2 linked regions of the Rhinolophus ferrumequinum genome follow. The protein of the gene in region 1 purifies or fractionates together with the protein of each later gene. This does not show direct contact. Links are inferred from orthologs where the notes say so. Each region holds a gene or a part of one and is shown on either strand. Other genes may lie near its edges.

The links. Proteins that work in one complex are often made in the same cells at the same time.
Region 2: the proteins of RPAP2 (region 1) and POLR2E purify together in Homo sapiens (affinity purification with mass spectrometry; 4 studies listed by BioGRID and IntAct, counting the BioPlex papers as one, with this or other methods). This does not show direct contact. The link is inferred for Rhinolophus ferrumequinum from reciprocal best matches to the Homo sapiens genes RPAP2 and POLR2E.

What each region holds. Positions count from the first base shown.
Region 1 is NC_046292.1:69,719,995-69,726,931, reverse strand, and holds the start of RPAP2 (putative RNA polymerase II subunit B1 CTD phosphatase RPAP2), read right to left. Parts: upstream 3,106-6,937; 5' UTR 3,053-3,105; coding exon 2,980-3,052; intron 2,265-2,979; coding exon 2,219-2,264; intron 1-2,218. Other genes in the region: GLMN (glomulin), read left to right, coding at 4,103-4,141, 4,568-4,693.
Region 2 is NC_046301.1:61,883,676-61,890,618, reverse strand, and holds the start of POLR2E (DNA-directed RNA polymerases I, II, and III subunit RPABC1), read right to left. Parts: upstream 3,011-6,943; 5' UTR 2,859-3,010; coding exon 2,802-2,858; intron 2,153-2,801; exon of another isoform or gene 1,642-2,152; coding exon of another isoform or gene 1,624-1,641; intron 1,088-1,623; coding exon 913-1,087; intron 1-912. UniProt on the Homo sapiens protein: DNA-dependent RNA polymerase catalyzes the transcription of DNA into RNA using the four ribonucleoside triphosphates as substrates.

The DNA.
Region 1 (6,937 bases):
CAATATTTTCATCAGTTCTGCTCATTACTAGCCGCCTTGATCTCTCTTCATCAGTGACGCGTTCTCTCCCCTCAGAAAAACATTTAATCCATTTGTACACTGCAATTTTCTTCATAGCATTATCCCCATAAACTTCGACTAACATGTCCCTGATTTCACTTCCACTCTTTCCAAATTTAACGAGAAATTTAATGTTTGTTCATTGCTCTAATTCAAGCACAGACATTCGCGAGATGGCACACAAAAACATGCAACAACAATAATGAATGCCACTTAGCAAGACACCGCCACACGTCGACATGAACACAGCTGTGAGACACTGATATACTAAAGTTATGAAACCTTACTGAGCTCTTTGTACAATGCTGCCAATGTAAGTGCATAGTGGCAAGTTCGCGAACTTAACTGGCAGACCTGGTACTTTTAAAATTCGAGCTTTTGCTTATGTACATTATATTTACCACAGTAGGATTAAAAGTGAGAAAATTTTAAACCATTTATTTATTAATTCATTTAATAATAATATACAATTTACATGTTAACATTTTGAAATAAAAATTTAGTGTCGGGGCGGCTAGATGGCTCAGTTGGTTAGAGTGCGAGCTCTGAACAGGGTTGCTGATTCGATTCCCACATGGGCCAATGAGCTGCACCCTCCACAACTAGATTGAAGGACAACGACTTGGAGCTGATGGGCCCTGGAGAAACACACTGTTCCCCAATATTCCCCAATAAAAAATTAAAATAAAATATTTAGTGTGAATAGTGGAATTATTTTATATTTTTGCAAAGTTCTTTAATTTCTGGCTTAAAACTATTCATTTGGATTGAATATAGAAGTATTTTGCAATTGGAATAAATTTATAAAGGATCGTTTCCCTCAACAACTATTTGGTTACCCCATGGATTTTTAATTGTTTCATCATCTTGAATGATCTGCTCAAAATAAAATATAATCTCTTCAGGTTTGTGGTCAGATCAGTGTTGAAGAAAGTTGCAAATTACCATCATTATCAATATTAACTAAACTCACTCTATTGTGGTGGTCTGAAACTGAACACGTACTACCTCCCAGGTATGCCTGTACTTTCCAAAACAGATCTCCAATTCATCCAATTTCTCCATTCCCAGATGATCACCTCCCCTAACACCTTAAAACTTTTTAAACTTAAATTCCATTACTTTATTACTTAAAGTTTTTCCATTTGCACTTAGAAAATCTAAATTTCTCACCATTGCCTATTAGGTCTATATGAATGGAATCCTGCCTCTCTAACCTTTTCCTATGCTCCTTACTTCCCTTGCTCAGAATGCTGGCACATCATCCTGGGCATCTCTGCTTTCTTTAAATGACCGTGCCTTTCTTGTCACACGTACTCCCACTTCTGACTATAGGTCTCTCCTTACTACTCTTTGATTAATGTCTACTTAGCCTTCAGGACTCAGCTTATTCTGTTCTCAAAAGTCCTTCCCTAAAAACCCACAAAACTCCAGCTAACCTGGACTCCTGTTACTCCTCCTCCTTTACAGCACTTATTACAATTTGTAATTATATATCTATTTTTGATAATTTAATTGGTATTTCTCTGTTCAACTAGTTAACTATGTCTATTCTGTTCAAAACCATATCCTTGGGGCCTAATACAAGTCTGGTATATCTTACACTCAGTAAATATTTTTGAAAGATTAATTGAATTAAGACAAAGCCAACACTTCATAAAATGATGTATCACAGGTATGTATTTTTTAATCATCTCAGACTACTCCTACTCTAGAAACATTTTGTGACAGAAGATAAATCTTGTCTTTTTAGAAGCCAAGAGACAATACAGGACAACTTCTTGTTGAAAATTTGGACATGATACAAACATGGGACAGACAAGGCTTCTTGGAGTCTCTAACACATAAAGCAAAAAAAGGAGTATACAAAGAGGTGGAAAAAGAGTACTTGGTTAATTCAGGAACGTCTATTCCCATGTACACCTTTCTACAGATACTCATACACCTTCACCAGCAACCTAAAAATGTCTGATTTGGTTTTCTTAAAGCATGGAGTAGGGGGATATAACTGTCTATGTGAGAATTTATAGTGCTTTCAGATCTTCCCCTTCTCATAATAAATTTCTCTAAGGTAGCACCCATTATTGTTTTTAAAAATGGTTCAATTAATATGAGATAAACAGCTAAGTGAATGCAGTTGTCCAAGTAGTTTTCATACCTTTTAGAAGCATCTTGCTGTTTCAAAGCACCTGTCTGTTTAGTACCTAAAATTAAAAAACAAAGTTAGTCAAGTCTGCACACATTAGGTTATAGAACAGATTCCTGCCCAAATAAACTGTATATCATCTTTTCTTCTTTTCCACATATTTAAAATGAAATGGGAAGGGAATCCAATTTGTTTTTGTAAATTAATTATTCCCAAATTTTTCCTGGTTAACATGTATCTCCTTCGGGATTGAATTTTCTCCTGTATCATAGATGCATACTTAAGCACTCGTGAAAAATCTGAAATCTGGGTACTTTTAGGGGAAGCCTCTCTCCGGCCCTCAAATGTTCACTCCCTGGCAAGAAGGGAGGTGATTCTCCAATACCTCAGAGAACAGGGGCACCAAAGCCGCAGGACAAATGGAAGGACCGATGGGAGGTTCACCGGCAGCCGCACACCGCTGGCTGATGCCGCCCTGCTCACTTGCCCATTCTGGCGACTCCAGCTCTAGGCTTCCAGGAACTCTACTGTCCTTTCCCTCAGAGGCCATCTGGGGGAAAATCTTGGAACGCTAGTGTAAAGATTTGGGGGTTCGGCCGAAGGTCTTTCCCAGGGGGCGCGAGGACGGCGGTGGGAAGCTCTTGGCCTTCTCCGTCCCCGAAGACCTCCACCCCCGAGAAAGCTTTTCGGGAGCACCCCGCGCGCCTTAATCTAGAACCCTGTAGGGGCTCAGTTCTCGGGGTCAAAACGTGGAAAGAGGCTCTTTTGCCTACCTGCGGCGTTTCGGCGGGGGCGCGGGGCCCCAGCCTTGCGGCCCGCGGAGGGTTGCCAGGCCGACTCAGCCATGGAGAGCGTCGTCCGACTATCGCGTCCGACCCTAGAGTTTCCCCCTGAGGCTCCGCCTCCCCTTGCGCAGCGCGGGGCGGGGCCGACCGGAGTGGGGCGGGGCTCGGAGAGCGGCCTACGCGGCCAGAAGAGGAGGTGGAGGAGGACGCTGAAAGGGGCAAGAGTCCTGGCGGGTAAGTGGACGCAGCGGGAGGTCCCGGACGGCGGGGGCTCGCGGCGGGCCTTGAGCCGCGGAGGATGCGGTGCCGCCGGCCGATTAGGCCCGGCGAAGTGGTGAGGCCCGAGCGCCACGACTAGCAGGAATCAGGAGAAATGGCTTCCCTTGGATGCCGCCCGCACGCGCGCTGGGGTTTTGTCCGCCCTGGAGCGCGCTGCGGTGAGGACCCCCGGACCCGCGCGCCCTTCCTGCGGAGCTGGTGCCGGGCCTTCAAGCTGGGAGAAACGATGGCCAGCGGGAATGGAACGGGGTTCTCCTGAGCGCCGCCGGTTGATCTCACTGACTGGATTGATTATTTTGGGTACTTCATTTCTTAAGGGAAATGTCCTGGTCACACAGGGGCTGGAGGGCATCTGAACTTCCACCCATTCTGGGTGAGTTGTGTTGACTTCAATTTTTGTCAAGTAGGACATTAAAAAATGAGAAATTCCCTGTTGATTAGAATTGATTTTAGGCCCACCTTTTGGAAATGTTTTCAGAAATGAAACACTTTGCCTTTTCAATGCACTTTGTGTAGTCCCTATTTGCCGTCCTTTTGGGAGTGCTCTAGAGGTTTTTATTTTCGGATGTATCTTTCAAAACTACACTAAGCAAAGCTGTGTTTAAGAAAACTTGAAAAGGTGCAATAGTTTTTTTTTAAATAAACTTTTCTTAGGTTAACAGACTACTTTTAGTAGTAGCATTTCAGCATTAAAACTACATTTTCTTTATTGTATTTAAAAATTCATCAGAATGAAATATCACTTATTAATACTTAAATGTAATATTTCTGATAGTTAACTGTGTTTTATGTTAGTACATTTCAGTCTCAAAGCTAGGAAAAATAAGGAGGAATGGCTGTGGAGGAACTTCAATCCGTAATAAAGAGATGTGTAAGTAATTTTTCTTTTTGTAAAGTTAAATATCTTTCAAAATATGAGAAGGGCATAGATTATTTTTAATTATATTTGTAGTCACTCGAATTGTTTATCTTCTTTAATCCTTGCTTTTTTTGACCTATGTATAAATAGTGATAGGGCAGGAAGGCAATTGGGTTATTTCTCCAAATGACATACTTTTCTAAATAACCTTTAAAATTTTTAATCTTAATCCTTATTAAAGGTTTCTTTGATATAGTGGATTTCAGGATCATTCACTAAAGTATTTATTAGGCTAATCCTAATTTTCATACGTATGTTTATGTGTAACTTACCTACAATTTAAACAGATTTCCTTTTTTTCAGAGAGAAAATATATCAAGTCATTATTGAATTTTTATTTGCCTAAACATGTTTGGTTTTTGTTTGTTTGTTTGCCAGCAAATCCTAGAAGAGCGAGACTTCAAAGAAGAAGATTTTGGTCTATTTCAGTTAGCAGGACAAAGATGCATAGATGAAGGGCACATAGACCAGCTATTAGAAATTATTCAGAATGAAAAGAATAAGGTAAGTATAATCTTTGTGCAAACTTTTCAGCCTTTACCTGGAAGAGAATATCCACACGATGCTATTATTCATCCATTCATTATCCATCAAACATTTAAGAATCAACTAACTTAAATTTCCACAGGAGGAAACTAGAAACAAAAAAGGAATTGGGACTATATACTTTAAGGTACTCACAGTCTGGTGGAAGAGACAAACATGTAAACAACTAGCATTAAGGAGGCAGAATGAATAAAATAAGTGCTATAGTTGAAGTATAAGTAAAGTGCTTTAGGAGAGCAGGGATTACATCTGGTTGAACCATCACAAGTAGCATTTGGGTCACGAATTTACCTTGAGAAATATAAGTATCAGGCAGGCTAGGTATTAATTTTTGGTGATTGCACATTCTGTTCCTCCAGCCAGAAGTATATAGAAAACCAAATATTAAGTAAGATAACATTTTGGGTATATAATATTTTGAGTAGATAAAATCAGAACGGGAAAGCTGAATGACTTGGCCAATATGATCCAGCTACGAATGTCTGATAAATCATTCTCTGCGATGGGAAAGGATCTTTTGAGGATCAGAAACAGCTTTTTCTCAGAAACATGTTGGCAACACTGCCAAATTTTGTGTCTTTGGACTCCGCTTCTTGTACAAAGGAGGAGCATCTTCTTTTCCAGGACACACTTTTTCTTCCTTTATGGTGCTATTTATTTCTACAGAAGTTTTCTTTCTTGCTATCACAATCTAGACGTGCTGGTCAGTGATTATATCCAGGATACCTTTATTGTGTTTGGGAAATTACTAAAACTTTTAAATCACACATTGTTGTAAATTCTCTTAGTAGTTTAAAGGGCCAATCCCTTTTTTATTTAAGAAAATATTTTTAGAAAAATTAGGACATTTGTTTAATACATTTGTTTTTGGTGTGTTTATGGTACCTTTGTAGCCCAAAATAAAGTAAATTTAATGTTTTCTTTAATTCCTTGATTTTTTCCAATTGCATTCTCAGAGGATAACCTTTCAAAGTACCTTACTTTTAGCTAGTAATAATAAAATTAATAATAGCTAATATTTATTGAGTATTTACTATGTGTCAGATACTGTCTTAAGTGCTTTACATCTGTTAACTCATGTAGCCTCTCCAGAATCCCATGATGTACTACTGTTAAATTCATTTTGTAGATAAGGAAACAGGCGCTGAAAGATAAGTGACTTGCCCAAAAGTAACAGATTTTATGCGGCATCCAGGATTCAGACCTGTGCAGTTCGGTTTTAGAACTTTTATCCACTCGGCTCTGCCTCCAGTGAGCACGATGTAGCACTTGCATGGAAGGTTTAGAGTAGAATAGAGGGAACTCATTGATTGTGGGGGTGAGAGAGAGTGAGACATCAAAGATGGCTAGGTTTCTAGCCTCTGAGAGGGTAGAAACATCCCAAACAGAAAACGGCTACCTAAGAAGAGAAGTTTCCTAAAGGAGGACAAATAAGTGTACTTTGGAAATGGTGAGTTTAAGATGCAGTATGTAATTGAAAAATAGTGTGGAGCTCAGTAGAGAACTAGGAGATTCAGATGTAGATTTGTGCATGACTATTAGAGATTAGGTGATTGTGGTAGATTTAAGAATAGTGAGGCTTAGTCTTAGTAGCTTGAGAATCATCTTTGTAACATATGGTCAGCTAAATTCAGAGGTTCAGATATTGATAAGACAATGCTTAAAAACTGACTGCAACTTATTTTTTTTTGCCAGTGACACAATCAAGATTGATCAAGATTTACTATTAATCTACTTCATGTAAATGTTTTTTTTAAAGAAAGCCATATGAATAGTTTGTCCTAAGATACTTATAGTGCGGGGTTTCTCAACACTGGCACTATTGATATTATAGCAATCCTCCCCCCCAGGAATGACAATCAAAAATGTCTCCAGACATTGCCAAATATGTCCTGGTAGATATCAAAATTGCCCCCATTGAAAGCCATTGGTATAGTGGGGAAAGCACGGGCTTTGGAGCTAGAGAGACTTATATGCAAATCCTGCTGTGCCACATTTTAGTTGTTGGACATTGGGCATGTCAGTAATCTCTAAACTTCGGCATTCTCATCTGTCAATTGGGGATAATAATCTTACCCTGTAAGGTTGCTAAGATTAAACTAAACAGTATAGCTTATAGATAGTTGATATTTGCCTTCCTCATAACTAACTATTCACTATTTACATAATGACTGGATTCCTTGTAACTGAGATTATGTTTGT
Region 2 (6,943 bases), on another chromosome or scaffold:
TGAGACAGAAGCAACCCAACGGACACCTTGATCTTGGCCTTCCAGCCTCTAGTGACAGGGACAAGCAATGGCTGTTGTTCTGTGCTGGTGTTATGGCAGCTGAAGCAGACCAACACAGGCAGGAGCATCAGCCTGTTCTGCAGCACGTCCCAGGGCCAGTGGCCCCAGCATCACCAAAGACCCACAAGAGCCGTCAAACCTCCTAGTCCTGGCCCTGAAGGTCTGCAGATGGCTCCATGGGACGCCAATGAGTAGGCACCAAGGGCTTCAATAACCACATCTCATACACAGGACACTTTTCTGAAAAAGTGCGACAAGGTTCCGCTCTGCAAACACTGTCTGCCCAGCCCCTTGATTCTCAGTGCAGGGTGCCCCAAGATGCTGGACACTGCTGGCCCCTAACTTCTGCAGGCCTTAGAGCCAGTCGACACCAGCGGGTTAGACACTAAGACAGAGGAACAAGGGGTCCCCAACACACCCCTAAGTGGGCTCGTCACTCAATCTGGGGCTCAGCGGGGGGCCGTGAGCAGCAGTGCAGGAAGGAGCTGGTGGGAGTGGAAGCTGCACTCACAGGTGAGAGGTGGGGCAGAGAGGACAGAGTGGGTCTGAGGTCAGGAGTGGTTGGGGCCCTGGCGGGAAGGTCTATGGTAATCCTGGTCGGAGAAAATGGCTGAGGAAGAGAGAATGGGGAAGTGGATTGAGGAGGAAACTGGAAAAGGCTCTTGGAGGGGTCAGAGGTCAGTGGTATCACCCACAGCATGAAGGAGCTCTCTCCTCAGGGTAGGCAGAAGGAAAAGGGCCACCGTTGACTCTGAGTCACACAGCAGGGGGCTGCGATGAGCTGGACCCTGCGCTGCCGCTCGGCTGGCCCGACTAGAACCATGACACCTCAGGCACTGGCAAGGCCCTCACCTGGGAAGAAGACAAACATCTGGTCAGTGGGGTCATCATTGTGGGCCACCAGCACTGTGAGGTCCGTGCGCCGCGGCCGCCCTTCACTTGGCTTGTCCCCGAACTGGGCTTTGAACTCCTCCAGCGTCTGGTCCAACTCATCCTGCGTCACCAGGTAGCCACGGTCATGGCACAGCTGTGGACAGAAAGAGCCAGGTGACCCCAGGGCAGAGGGGGAAGTGCAGCAAGAGCCTGGGCGTGATGAGGCCACCGTGAGGATGACGCAGGGAGTTTGGGACCGTGTGGCAGGTGTGTGCAGAGGCCAGAGAAGAGGGACAGGGCAGGTGGGGACAAAGACCGGGTGCCTCTGAGGCTGCCCCTGCACTGCTCCGGTTACAAGCTGCCGTCCATAGTGTCATTTTATGCTGAACCTCGGGGCAGCCGTAATTGGGGAGCAAATAGCAGTAGGGCTGGGACTTAAGGTGGGGCTCTTTGAGGCCAGAGCCAGCCCTGGGGTCTGGGGCAGAGGGAGACAGCCAGGTGGGAAGGGTAGACTCTAGGGGCTCTGAGGGTGGCACTTCTGGGTCTCACCTCAGAAATCGGGGCTCTTTGAATGGGCTGACTAGAAGACCCATTGAAGAAAGGGGAGGTCAGAGAGCAGCCCTACACCCATCCCCTTTCCTCTGTGAAGTCCCCACAGCCTGATTCCCTCTCAGGATCCCCAACACCCACCGTCAGCCTGAAGCACATGTGTTTTGGTCCCTGTCTGTCGTAGCTTCACAAAGCGGTGGAGAGGCGGGGTGCGGCTGCGCAGGTTTAGTCCCGGCAGGATTCCTGCGCCGCTGGGTGATCTTGGTCAAGACCCCACACCTCCGTGGGCCTCCGAGGATCACCCTGGCCTCTTCCGTGGGGTGGGTTAAAGTATGTGGCATATAGTGACTGCTTAGCCAGCTGGCTGCTGTCACTCTAGTATCTAGAGTAACTCCAAGTTGCTGGCTGAGGCGTTGAAGTAGCCACCGGACACAGGTCTGAGAGATATGCCTGCACTGGATGGCAGGTCAGATCAGCTGACCCGGGTTTCTTCCAACCCCACAAGACTGGGATTCTGTGTCACGTACGTGGGGTAATGCTGGAGGATTCCAGGAAGTAAACAAGTGGAAGACCAGGTGGTCTTTCGTGTACTGTCTCTCTCTCTCTCCAGCTCAAGTAAGGCAGTGGGTGAAAACTGGCTTCCATGGGAAGTTAACCTCACAGGGTGATCTGATCCTAAACCCCTAACTGGGAAGGTCACGGGGGGTGGTCACACCCAGGTGTATAACTTTCTTAGTAAAAGGCTTGTCTTGGCCTGTCCATTGTTCATGTGCATCTAGGTTCACACACCTTTGAAATCAGCGTTACCACCCTCACAAAGAGTTAATCTCGTTAACTATTCCCTAATCCAGTTCCACCTGGCTTTCTCCCACCTCCCTGTCATCTTCCTCACCTTCCCTCCTTAATTCCAAATGCACAAAAGAAACTGCAGAACTCGAAGCATTTGGGATCGAAGGATTTGCTTCTTGGCATGTCGTCAAATAAACTCTTCCAAATATTCTCTACAGAGTCGTTCGGACCTTTCTTACGTCCGCAAGACCCTGACACGGAGAGGGCGAACATCCTAGGCAGACAGACCCGACTCCAGCACCTCGGACTCACGACTGGGCCGCGCGCGGGTCTGTGGGGTCCCTTAGGCCTGCAGAGACCCTCGATGCAGCCCCGGGAGCCGCCTTGGTCCAACTCCTCCACTCCACCCGCTCGGGCGGGGGTCGTGGAGGCTGGTTCCCGTTTGCAGCCTTTGCACTCATCGTCCGCCCCCCGGACCGCTGCGTGTCCGGCTCGCCTGGCGCAGCGAGGCCGGCCCTCTCCGCGCTCACCTGCATGATGGTTTTGCGGATCTTCCAAAGCCGGTAGGTCTCCTCTTCGTCGTCCATGCCTGCCGCCACTCACACTCACTGCGTCTGCGCCCGGCGGGACCCGCGCCTACTGAGCCTGCGCCCAGCCCCGGTCAGGCCCCACTCAGCTCAGGGCTGTCGCCAGCGAACGCCTGAACGCAGCGACCTCCGGGAGCAGCAGCGCCAAGGGCAACCCGAACCTTTCGAGAGAGATGGTTGGCTGCGCGAGAGACGTGCGAATGGCGTCGCCCACCTTCGCCTCGGAAGGTCTCGCGTGGTTTTGGGCGCAAGTTGTAGTTTCCGCTCAACGCCCGCCTCGGGACGTCCCGGCCGTTTAGAATCCCTACAGGCAGAAGCGAAAAAACGGAGGGCGGGGAAACTGCGGCCCGGATGGGATCGGGGGTCTGCTCTCCTCCCAGGAACGGATGGGTGGCCTAGGAGACGCTACATAAATATTTATGCATCCAACTGTAGGGGGTCCTCTTAGTTGCCTCTTGATCACATCCAACCTAATGGCCCCAGCTTCATTTTTCCCTGTCTGTACATTGGAATTTATAAAATGTCTCCATTTTAGAGGATTAGCTGAGGATCTAAAGGGGCTCCCGTGCTTGGGAGGTTGGTATAGCTCCTGGTGCTTATGTTGGGCTCCCACCTCTGTCCTCCCCACTTCGTCCCCTGAACCCCAGCCCGCCTCTGCCTGGATACCCCACCACCCAGTTCATACAGGAAGCTCAGCCAGCAGCCCAGCCCCTGACACTTAGGAGGCCATGAGTAACTTCTCATTCATTGATACATTCATTCAATCAGATACCGCCAACCACAGGGCAGGGAAGAAGCCAAGCACCCCCTTACATTCCAGGGAGAGTATAGACAGTGAACATAATAGACTGTGGACGGAAAAGGGGCCACACATTAAACCTGACACGTTCAGGAGACTGAAAATAACCACATAAGATGGCGTGAGCATAAAAATAATTTCGTAACTAAGTGGGCCATGGCAGGAAGTCGTATCTTTAGCCAAAAGCTTCCTTCATAAAGTTCATCTGTGCCTTTAAGAGGACCTGTCTATTGTCTTTTTGCACCTAAGATGACATCCTTGGAATGTCAGTAATTGCTATTTCCGGACCAGAGCAGGAAAGTACACGATCTCTCATTATTATTCTTGTCCCTTGGTTAACATCTCTATGAGAACTATTAACTGTCCTGTACCCACCTATGTGAAAGAAGTACCTGTCTCTCGAATTTACTTTTATCCAATCCCAGAGATTTCCCCGCTTTGCTTTCTCCCACCTCCTTAATCTACCACCAGTGGATTTCATGTAACCCTCCTCCTTTGATTCTCTGTATAAAACAAGCTGCAATCCGCCATTTCGCGGAGCATTTTCTTAGTCCGTTGAGATTTTACTTCCCAGCAGTTGTCGTCACTTTGACTCAAGTACACTCTTATAAGCTTTTTCTTAGGCTTTTTCTTTCTGGATGTTTTTCGTTGACATTTCTTTGCATAGTCAGCAGGATTCCAAAGAAACCCACCCAGGACCACCCTGCGGACCAGGATTCGGTGCTCGGTACCAGCAGAGCCCATTGTGCCCCACCGGCTCCCTGCCTCTCATCGGGTGAACTTGAGTGAGTTTTTCTTGGAATTTTGGACCTTCCTGTTTTAAGGTAGGAGGTCCTGACTTTATTTGAGCTGTTTGTTTGCTTGTATTTTAAACCTCGAGTTGGCGTTAAAGGTTAAGGGTTGAGATAACCCAGGTTAAGGATAAAGAGTTAAGATAACTTGGGGACAGGAGGGAAAAATGGGTGGCTGGTTTTAATTTTGGCTTTTCAATTGGAATTGTTTACTGCGAGTCTGAACAAAACTTTTTGCTGGATAAATGAGAGTCTGAACTTGTTGAACTCCGAAGATAAGGGGCATTTACTCCCTCCAGCTCGAATTTCGGGTATTCTTAGGTGACTAAGAATCTTTGTGGAGGTGTTTGGGGGTACTCCTCAAAACATGCAGTGGCCTCAGAGGCCACTGCAATTAAATATTTGCACATTTATATACACAACTAAATGCACAATTAAATACACAACTGCAATTAAATATTTGACTCGTCCGGGGACGCGCACATAAAGACTGGTTACCTAGCGCTCCGAGTCCTCATGGTTGTACTAGACAGCTGGGGAGAGAAACTGAGGCACATAAGAGGGTTGGAGCGACTCGGGAGGTAACAGCCCCTTGGAGCTCCACCCATAAGCAGCACACTTGAACTCACTACACAATATCACTAGAAATTTGTGCAGACTCTGCAGATCTCAAAAGAAAACTAAAAATTAACGTGGGAAGTAGTGCCTCTAAGGCTGACAAGCTCCCAGACCCCACCTCCATTAATTCCCCTGCAGATGTACAGTTTCTAGGGAGTCTACTTGCAAGTACTTACAGACATGGAAAGGTTTAACTAGAAGTGATATCAACTTCAGATGGCCAAAATGGAGCTCTTTCGACATCTAAATTAATATTTTTTGTGCACAATTAGAAAAAGCCGGCTTAAAAACCAAACTAAATGGAATGGGATGCTTACCTCAATTGGCAAATAGAAAGAAGCCTCTGAAATGGAATAGAGAGACAGTCTTCTCTCCAGGAAGTTAGTAAGGAAATTTTAGATACCGTCTCAAAACTGAAGAAGGTTCCTGCAGCTGCTCAGTGCCAGCACCGCACTTTGCCCTCTCCTCCGACTGTCCCACTGTGTGCTTTACCTGTCTGCACCTGCTCGCCTTTTCCTCCATCTGTCTTCTGCCACTCTGTTCCAGCTCCCTTTGGAGAGGAGCTGGTCTTGGGCGGAGGGGAAGGGAATCCGCGGTTAAAATTTTGCTAGGGAAACTACTGTAGAGGAATCTGCTTTTATTGTAAAAAGACAAGTTACCTTAAGGATTGTAGGAAACTAAAATAGGTTTAAGAAAAATAAAAGAAATAGAAGCGAGCATAGGGCTGCTCCAAGGACTATGAGGGCTTTTCCCCTTCTTACTAACACTGGGGCTACTTTCTCTGTTAACACCACCAGGCTAAGTTGCCCTCTCCCTTGGAGTAAAGCTTCTGTACAAATGGTAGGGACATCTAATCAACCAATGTCTGTTTAAATCAGAACCCATTCCTCTCTAGCTAGGAAATGTTAAGTGGCAACATCTATTTTTACTACTCAAATCTGCCCCAATTCACCTGATAGTGTGAGACTTTGTCACCAATGATACTCACATATCCTCCCAGAAGGATGAAATGTATTTAGGACTAAATGAATCAGATTGGGAATGGGAAAATAATGATTTTAAAAGAAACAATATGAGAGGAAACTAGTCTTGATACTGACGGAGTGTTTGTTACAGGATGTTCCAATACAATTTTAGGCTTTCTCCAGTACAGATATTGATTGGCAATATTAAGTTAGCCACTCCCATTAAAGTAACTATTGACAGTTCTTTGCCTCTACCTAATTATTTGCCAATATCCTTTGAAGCCTGATACACCAGCTGGAATTAGCTCATTATACAAGATTACCTTTAACGGGGGGCTTATCATTCCAGGTGTGAGCACCTGTAATTCTCCTATCCTTCCAGTAGAGAAACCCAATGGGAAAGGATGGAGATTTGCACAGGATCTCAGAGCTTTAAATAGATATCCTATGGTTCCAAATCCACATACCCTATTATCAGCTATTCCTGTGTGTACTGCCAATATTTTCAGTGATAGATTTATGTAGTACCCTTTTCAGTATTCATGTAAAAAAAAAAAAGAAAAAGAAAAAGACAGGAACTATCTCTGCTTTTCCACCTGGGAAGATCAGAGTTTACTTGGACAGTAATATCCCAGGGGTGTACACCTATTTCTCTCAGATACTAAAAGCTGATTTGAATAATGTTGAATTTCCCAGAAATTCTACTCTAATCCAATAATATATGGATGATTTATTCTTATGCTATATGCAATAGCTTCCATGGTAAACCTAGATTTGAGTTTCTTATTTACTTGAATAAGATCAGCCCACCAAACTGAATTAATTGATCTAACAGGAGCTTGTAAATGAGCCGAAGATCAAATAGCCAATATTTACTCTAATAGTTTCTATACGTTTGATGTAGCTCACAAC